Oryctolagus cuniculus: one gene and its partner. The protein of the gene in region 2 binds, or shares a complex with, the protein of the main gene of each other region. Links are inferred from orthologs where the notes say so. Each region holds a gene or a part of one and is shown on either strand. Other genes may lie near its edges. The genes, in order: NUS1 and DHDDS.

Region 1 (3,810 bases), on a different chromosome or scaffold from region 2:
GCTCAATACCATTATTCATTAAGAAAATGTGAATTAAAATCACAACAAAATACTACAACACATCCACTAGAATGGCTGAAAATAAACCAAAAAACTGACAGTACCATGTCTTTGTAAGGTCATGGAAAATCTAGAACCATTTACGTTGCAAGTGGGGTGTAAAATGTAGAGCGTATTTGAAAAAGTTTGGTGGTTTCTTAAAAAATTAAACATTCACTTCCATACGACACAGAAATCCCACTATTAAATATCTATCCAATAAGAGAAAGAAACATGTCCACACAAAGACTTGCACACAGTCACAGTCACAGCACAGCAATGTTATTCAAAAATTGGAAATGGGCAGCACTGTGGTAAACAAGGTTAAGCCACCCCTGTGATGCTGGCATCCTATATGGGTACTGGTTCGAGTCCCAGCTGTTCCACTTCTAGTCAGGCTCTCTGTTGATGTGTCTGGAAAGCAGAGAAGATGGCCCAAGTACTTGGGCCCTGTCAACCATGTGGGAGACCTGGATGGAGGTCCAGGTTCCTGGCTTTAGCCTGCTCCACCCTGGTCCTTGCAGCAATTTGGGAGAGTGAACCAGCAGATGGGAAATCTCACTCTTTCTTTCTCTCTCGCTCCTTCCCTCTGTGTAACTTTGCCTTTCAAGTAAATAAGTAAATCTTAAAAAAAAACAACAACTGGAAACAAATAAAATGTGCATCAACTGAAGAATGAGTAAACAAATTGTGGTCTATCCATAAAATAGACTACTTCCTATTAACAAAAGTAATAAATTAAGACATTCAACATTGATGAACCTCAAAATTATTATGCTAACAAAGTAAGACATAAAAGATTATCTATAATATGATTCCTTTGATATAAAATTTCTATAAAAGGCAAAAGTATCTCCAGAAAGACAACCAACCAATGTGGGGACCCAATGCAGTACAAGGGAACTTTTTGGGGTGATGGTAGAGTGTTTGCTTCTCCCAGATTAATGAGTTAATGTAAGGACTGGGCTTAATTTCATTTATTGTGAATTTACAAGCCCTGAAGCAAAACCTTTGGGCTCCAGGCCACCTTTTAGAATGTCTTCACAAATCACTCCAGGGCTTCACAGAGTCCAAGAAACAGTCAACATCTCAGTAATCTCTAGTAAGAGTGCCCACACAATCTTTTACACTCAGCAAGCCTGAACACAGACAACATCAGAGTAAAGAACACAAGAGTAAAGGAAGGAGTAGTCAGTGAAAGTACGAAGTTAGTAAGACTAAGAGGCCAGAATCTGTGTTCCATGATCGACACGCCAAAGTAAAAGAGTCAAAGAATGAAGAGTTATGTAAATAACTGATACAGAAAATGCATGATTAATAAGGTAAATGGAGGGTCTATGTAAATGAAAAAAACCAATGTCTGAGATCATATGGCTGTAGAAGATATCCATGAACTTGACTTTGCTAGAGAGACTGCTTTTCTGCAAAAGGTTCAAGATAATGCTTGAAAGCAGAAGGACCATGAAGTTAAAAGTTCCTGGACAGGCTCTAGAAAGAGTAAGTACACAAAAGGCTTTATAAATAGTTGAAGGAAAAAAAGCTATATTTGGTATGACATGCCAAATTCAGGGGAGTATATTTGGTACAGCATAATAGAAAAAAAGAAACACTTAAAAAGGAGTCATGTATGCTAAGATTATATTCTTGGGAGTGCCTCACAAAAAGTTGTTAAGTTCAAACCTGTTAGAAAGTTCAAACTAAAAAGGGGGTTGAGACAGACAGAAAGGCTAACAGAAGTCCTATTTTTAAGAATACTCCTGGCTGGCGCTGCAGCTCAATAGGCTAATCCTCCACCTAGCGGCGCCGGCACACCAGGTTCTAGTCCCGGTCGGGGTGCCGGATTCTGTCCCGGTTGCCCCCCTTCCAGGCCAGCTCTCTGCTATGGCCCGGAAGTACAGTGGAGGATGGCCCAGGTGCTTGGGCCCTGCACCATTTGGGAGACCAGGAGAAGCACCTGGCTCCTGCCTTCGGATCAGCGCGGTGCGCCGGCCGGGGCGGCCACTGGAGGGTGAACCAACAGCAAAGGAAGACCTTTCTCTCTGTCTCTCCCTCTCTCTCACTGTCCACTCTGCCTGTCAAAAAAAAAAAAAAAAAAAAAAAAAAAAGAATGCTCCTTACTGCAAAAATAAAGAAAATAAAGAGAAGGAAAAAGAAGGAAAGAAGGAAAGGAAGTTCAAGGAAAGAAGGAAGGCAGGCAGGCAGGCTGGCCTTTCCTTTACCATGAAATCCTCACACAAGTAAGCTGACCACAATTACATTATCCCAAAACCATTTTACATGTGGGTCTTTAAATTTCAGAAGTATGAAGAGTACAGCAACAACAAAATCAAATGTTATAGTATAAAAGGATCTTAATATTTCTTTCATACTGTATCTTTATGTTATAAAATTTAAAATGTACACACACACACATACACATACATGACTTACTAAGTAAACTGTCTAACATATCTACATCCAAATCTGTGGATTTCTTTTGCTGCTGGGCTACTAACTGGCAAAAGTCCTGAGCAGCTCTCACAATATCTGCTTTTCCATCTTCTGGGGACAGCACCTTCACTGCTGAATGGCAATTTAAAACTGGAGGAAAAAACAAACAAATTTATTTTTAAAAACACTCTCTTCCAAATATGTCAAAACCAGTTTTAAAAGAAACAGTTAAGGTTTTGAAAGTTCTTACAGTAAAGAATCACTTAAACCCTTCAATTTCAGTATCAAATGTACTTAACTATTCTCCTTTCAAAGGCCAGATGCACCCCAAATCACATTTATGTATATATTTTCATACTGTCTTATTTTCAAAGGGCTCAAGAGGACCTTTTATTGTGGCTAAATTCTCCAGAAAATAGAAGATTTAATTATAAGGTAGATGACTTTTACTCACCTAAAATTCCATCTACAATCATTGCAAAATTAACAGTAATATACAGAATAAAAGAAAAAATAAAGATTGTAGAAAAAATTGTGTTTCAGTGGAGAATGTATGCATTGTCTAGAGTGTACACATACACACATATTCATTATCTATTTCTGATTCTCTGGGATCTATATTGCAATTGACAGAACTCTAAAGAACTGATAATAATGTAAAATTCTTTTCTATAAAAATGCACTATCTTTCCTGTCAGGTAGAGGTTCAATTATCTTTCCTCTCATCTCACAGGAAAACCAGTTTTGTCTCTACTTAGATATTCACTCTATTTCCTGATGTATAAACGTGACTGTTCTTTGGATTATCTGTTGAATGAGTTATAAAAAAATCTGCCCAATTAAATAAAATCTTTATCATGTGTTCACTTTTTAATATTTACATGAGTTATTATTTTATCTTTTTCTGATTATCTTTTAATAAGATAAAGGAGAAAAAGTCTCAATCTGATGACTAAAGATGTTGAGACTGGTGGGGAGTCTGGACTAGCAGTGAAGATGCCAATTGAGACATCTGCATCCCATATGGGACTGTCTGGGTTTGAGTTCTAACTCCACTGCTGATTCCAGCTTCCTACTAATAAAGACCCTGGAAGGCATCAGGTGATAGCTCAGGAGGGAGAACTGAACTGAGTTTCTGACTCCTGACTTCACTGTGGCCCAGTCCTGGCTGTTATGGATATTTAGGGAGTGAACCACTAGATGAGAACAGATGAGAGTCTGTCTCTCTCTACAGCTCAAATACATAAATAAATACATAAAAATTAAGTAAAGATACTGAGAACAAGACTAACAGGGCAAAATGAACGAATAAAGGACTGAGTAACAGACTTGCTTTGAATT
Region 2 (4,374 bases):
GATGAAAGGATGGGGCCTTGGCTTGGGGCATGAGACCCTAATAATAGTCCCCTACTCCTCAAAGCCCTTTACAAATCGTAATTAATTAACCCCTGCAGCACCCCAAGGAATGGAAATATGTGGAGCTGGGGAAGTTGAGGCCAGAGGAGATTCACTGACTTGATTTAGACAACATTCTCTTTGAGTCAACGTTTGCTAGCCTTCTAATGAACACTGAGTTTTTAAACATTCATCTCCCCCGAGGGGAAGGAGGATTTAAAAAGGATAAAACTTAATTGGAGGCAAACCAAGTATTAACACAAAGTGCAAGGAAACAGAGAAACTGGATTAAATCCTCGAGCCCTGGCAACATTACCAGAGTGAGGGTAGGAAGCTTCCTATCAACTCCAGGGACTTTGTGGCCCCTTAACTAATTGTACCCAGAGTCAGAGGTGACAGTGGATGCTCACAGCCAGCAAACCACTGAGCTTCAGTAAATATTCTTGGAAAACGCAAATAAGCGAGGCTGAAATTTGCTCCTAGGTTGCAAAGCCAGGACGGGAAATGTTCACGGGCGGGTTACTTTTCTCTAGGGCTTTCTTCAAGTATGTTACTCCATACATGACCCTTTCATCGGGGAGTGGAAGGCACACAGTGGCTATGGGATGGACGGTGTGCAACAACTGCTTGATGAGATGAGCCATGCGAAGTGAGAGGCGGACGGTCCTTTGAAAATTCTGTCACCTACGCAAATCATCCATATGGAGGTTGCGCTATGAGTTAAAAGAAAAATACTGGTCGCATGAGATTCTGTAAAGTTTTTTTCCCGTTTTTATTTGAGGAAGTCGAAGTAGCAATTTCTCCTGTGACTCAGTTCTTAAGATTCATGCACCATTTTCTAAAAGCTCTTAAAGCCCTCCCTCCGATCTCTTTAAAAAAAGGATGGGTACAGAGCTGACGCCGATTTTGTCTCCGTTAAATAATGACCTGGGTTTTGCAGAACTCCTTGTAGCCTTACCTCTTGTAGGAACCTGTAAATCCTACCATCTGGGTGCCCTAAAGCAGCACAAAATGGACGGACATTCAGCGCCCCTGTAAGACTAACTGGGGCTAGCAACTGGTTCCCAAACTAAGCACAGAGCAGAAGTATGACTTAAGGCTTGTACCAGGGCTTCTAACGAAGTCAGACCTGCGGCTTCCCAACGTAGTGCCCGGCTACAGAACGACGTCAGCGGCCTAGGGGCGCCTCAACTTGCGAGGCGGGATCCCCTTCGTGCTTAGCTGACGGCACGTTTGCCGGAGGCCGTCCGATCTGGTCCGCAGGCCTCTCGCCTCCCCCTGCCGGGCTGGACCCAGCCTTCCCCAATGCACGGCCCGAAGCCCGGCCGGCCGCCCGCCCGCCCCTGCTCCGTCACGTGGGCTCAGCTTCCACCCTCGCCGCCGCCCGCCGCCAGCGGACGAACGCGCACTGCAGGGCCACAGAGCTCCCGCCGCTCCTTCCACTACCCGGCAGGCGCAGGGCCACGCCCCGCCCATTGGCTGGCGGGAGGAGCGTGGCCCAGCGCGCTGCGATGACGTGGTCTTTCAGCGCCGTGTCGTGAGGAAGTGTCGGCCCACTGGAGCCGTTGGAAGAAGCCCAGCGGAGCGGATCAGGTGGTGGGAGGAAGGGGTGAAACGGAGGAGAGGGAGATGGCTGGGCGGGGAGGCAGCTGCGGGAAGGATCGAGGGACAGCCGAGGGAACAGAAAATTACAATACCAGTGAAGTAGGAGGTAGCGAGTGCCGCAACTGCACGGGTTGGTGACTGGGAGCGCAGAATGGGAAATGACTTGGGGGAAGATGGAGGAGGACGCGGCGAATGATCGAGACGTAGGCGCCGTGATGTGGCAGCAAGCAGATGTAGATGTTCAGAAGAAGTGAGTGCAGATAATGAGGAAAATGGCCAGGGGCCAAGGTGCACGAAGCCAGGAGAACCGGAGAGGTCTCATTGGCCGGTGCAGTTCTACGTAAGATTCTCGTGCTAGTCGCGCTGTGCAGTCGGGGATCAATCTCGAGAAATCCGCTGTAGCTGTTTGCAAGCCCTGGTGACGTCTCCCTCTCTTTTCTTGTTTATGCAAGGTTTCCAGACTGGTGTCTTGTTATTCTGGGGTGATCCTCTGACCGGGCGAGAACTATGTCATGGATCAAGGAAGGAGAACTGTCCCTTTGGGAGCGGTTCTGTGCCAACATCATAAAGGTGAGCAGTGGGCCAGAGCACCGGTGGACCTTCTGGTCGTGTGCATAGTCTTGCACCAAAACCTGTTGTTGAATCTGAGCAATGCATGATGTGAAGTGGAACTCAGCAAAGGAACCAAAGAGCATTAAAACTGCAAGGTAACTTCAGATGGCTGTGTCCGCGGATTTTTGTCCTAACTGGGAGCCGGGGTGAGCAGAGACTGTTAGATGTTAGATTTGTTTCTCTGTACGTTGAATCATTGATCCTAGTACCATATGCTGGATTTTTAAAAATTTACTTTTAATTTTTCAATTTATTACTTATTTGAGAGAGAGGGAGGGAGAGGAAGCTTCCGCCTGCTGATTCACTCCCCCACTGCCTGCAGTGGCCAAGGCTGGACTGGTGAAGCCTGAATCTCAGTTCAGGTCTCCCACGTGGCAGGAACTGATGACTTAGCTGTTCCTTTTGCCTCGCAGGTCTGTGTTAGCAGGAAGTCAGACTCTTGAGCCAGAGCTGGCGTCAAACCCAGGTTCTCCGGTCTGGGATGCAGGTGTCTTAACTGCTCTGGATTTAGATGGAAAACTAATCCCCATTTTTGCTTACTGCTCTGAGCCAGATACGTTTTCTTGCTCTGATATACTTACTGAAGGTTATATTTTTATGAAAACCCTGATGTTTGATTCTCTGTAAAATCAGAAGATCCGAAGCACATTGAGTCTCAGGCCCCGGGTGGCATTAGTTGGTTAGGCCTGAGAAGTGGGTGCACCGATTGTGTGTGTGGAAGACGCCTTCTGTGTTGACTGTGCCTGTCAGCATCCTTCCTTTGCCTCCTGGTTGAGGTCCAAGCGAATCGCAGTGGTGGTGAAGAGCATATGATTTTTTAAAAAAGATTTATTTATGCATTTGAAAGGTAGAGTTCCAGAGAGGGAAGGAGAAAGAGAGACAGATCTTCCATCTATGGTTTATTCCCTAAATGGCCTCAATGACTGGGGCTGGTCCAGGCCAAAGCCATCAGCCTGGAACTCCTTCCTGGTCTCCCACTTGGGTAGCAGGCAGCCAAGTGCTTGGGCCATCCTCTGCTGCTTTCCCTGCATTAGCAGGGAGCTGGATCAGAAGTGGAGCGGCTGGAACTCAGACTGGAGCTCACATGGGATGCCAGCGTCACAGGTGGTGACTTAGTCCACTGTACTACAATGCTGGCCTCAAAAGCATATTGTTAAAGATGAACTCTGGGCCGGCGCTGCGGCTCACTAGGCTAATCCTCTGCCTGCGGCGCGGCACTCTGGGTTCTAGTCCTGGTTGGGGCGCCAGTTCTGTCCCGGTTGCTCCTCTTCCAGTCCAGCTCTCTGCTGTGGTCCGGGAGTGCAGTGGAGGATGGCCCAAGTGCTTGGGCCCTGCACCCGCATGGGAGACCGGGAGGAAGCACCTGACTCCTGGCTTCGGATCAATACAGCGCGCCGGCCATAGCAGCCATTTTGGGGGTGAACCAACAGAGGGAAGACCTTTCTCTGTTTCTCTCTAACTCCGCCCGTCAAAAAAAAAAAAAAAAAAAAAGATGAACTCTGGAAGCAGACAGACTGTAGTGTGAATGTCTACTTTGCATCTTCTGAGCTGTTTGACTTGTGCAAATCACTTGATCTCAGTGAGCCCAGTTTTTTATCTATAAAACTGATGTGATACCATTTACCTTATAGAGTTGTAAGATAGATGAAGTAGGAAGAGCCCAGTTTAGTATTTGGCATGTAATAAGTCCTCAATAAATATATAAATAAAAACAAATGAAAGTGCCGAATGCTCTTTTATTGAGCTACAAGTGTGAAATGTCTAATTCTGTTCCCCAGCAATTTTATCATATAGCCCAACCCTGTCAGCCTGAGGGATAGTGCTCCCCTCATCCCCAGAGAATAGGAGATCTGTTCATCCGTCTTCTTGTCCCACAGGCAGGCCCCATGCCCAAACACATCGCATTCATAATGGATGGGAACCGCCGTTATGCCAAGAAGTGCCAGGTGGAGCGGCAGGAGGGCCACTCTCAAGGCTTCAACAAGCTGGCTGAGGTGGGTGTGGGTGGCAGAACCCAACGTGAACAATCCATAGAGGACTGGGCTCTGGGTTTGCTATGGTCTGAGTGTTTTGATAGCTCATTCTCTGTTTTATTGCTTGCTTGCTAACTCTGTGTCT

The links.
Region 1: the proteins of DHDDS (region 2) and NUS1 are in contact, whole or in part, in a crystal structure (PDB 7PAX), measured with the Homo sapiens proteins. The link is inferred for Oryctolagus cuniculus from reciprocal best matches to the Homo sapiens genes DHDDS and NUS1. Residues at the interface, in NP_995583.1 of Homo sapiens: Arg37, Arg38, Glu81, Asn82, Lys84, Arg85, Arg159, His160, Ile162, Ser163, Val166, Arg167, Met169, Ala170, Trp171, Val173, Glu174, Pro180, Ser181, Ile183, Ser184, Glu185, Leu188, His199, Glu209, Val210, Arg211, Leu212, Ser213, Asp214; in NP_612468.1 of Homo sapiens: His137, Gln138, Pro193, Glu194, Lys197, Ala198, Ile200, Val201, Ala204, Gln205, Phe207, Cys208, Gln209, Val211, Ala212, Arg217, Pro218, Thr219, Leu221, Asp222, Val223, Leu226, Asp237, Pro246, Val247, Asp248, Ser249, Thr250, Leu251, Gly252.

What each region holds. Positions count from the first base shown.
Region 1 is NC_091436.1:52,669,663-52,673,472, forward strand, and holds part of NUS1 (dehydrodolichyl diphosphate synthase complex subunit NUS1), read right to left. Parts: intron 2,620-3,810; coding exon 2,470-2,619; intron 1-2,469. UniProt on the Homo sapiens protein: With DHDDS, forms the dehydrodolichyl diphosphate synthase (DDS) complex, an essential component of the dolichol monophosphate (Dol-P) biosynthetic machinery.
Region 2 is NC_091438.1:145,068,298-145,072,671, reverse strand, and holds the start of DHDDS (dehydrodolichyl diphosphate synthase complex subunit DHDDS), read left to right. Parts: upstream 1-1,504; 5' UTR 1,505-1,632; intron 1,633-2,096; 5' UTR 2,097-2,151; coding exon 2,152-2,214; intron 2,215-4,133; coding exon 4,134-4,250; intron 4,251-4,374. UniProt on the Homo sapiens protein: With NUS1, forms the dehydrodolichyl diphosphate synthase (DDS) complex, an essential component of the dolichol monophosphate (Dol-P) biosynthetic machinery.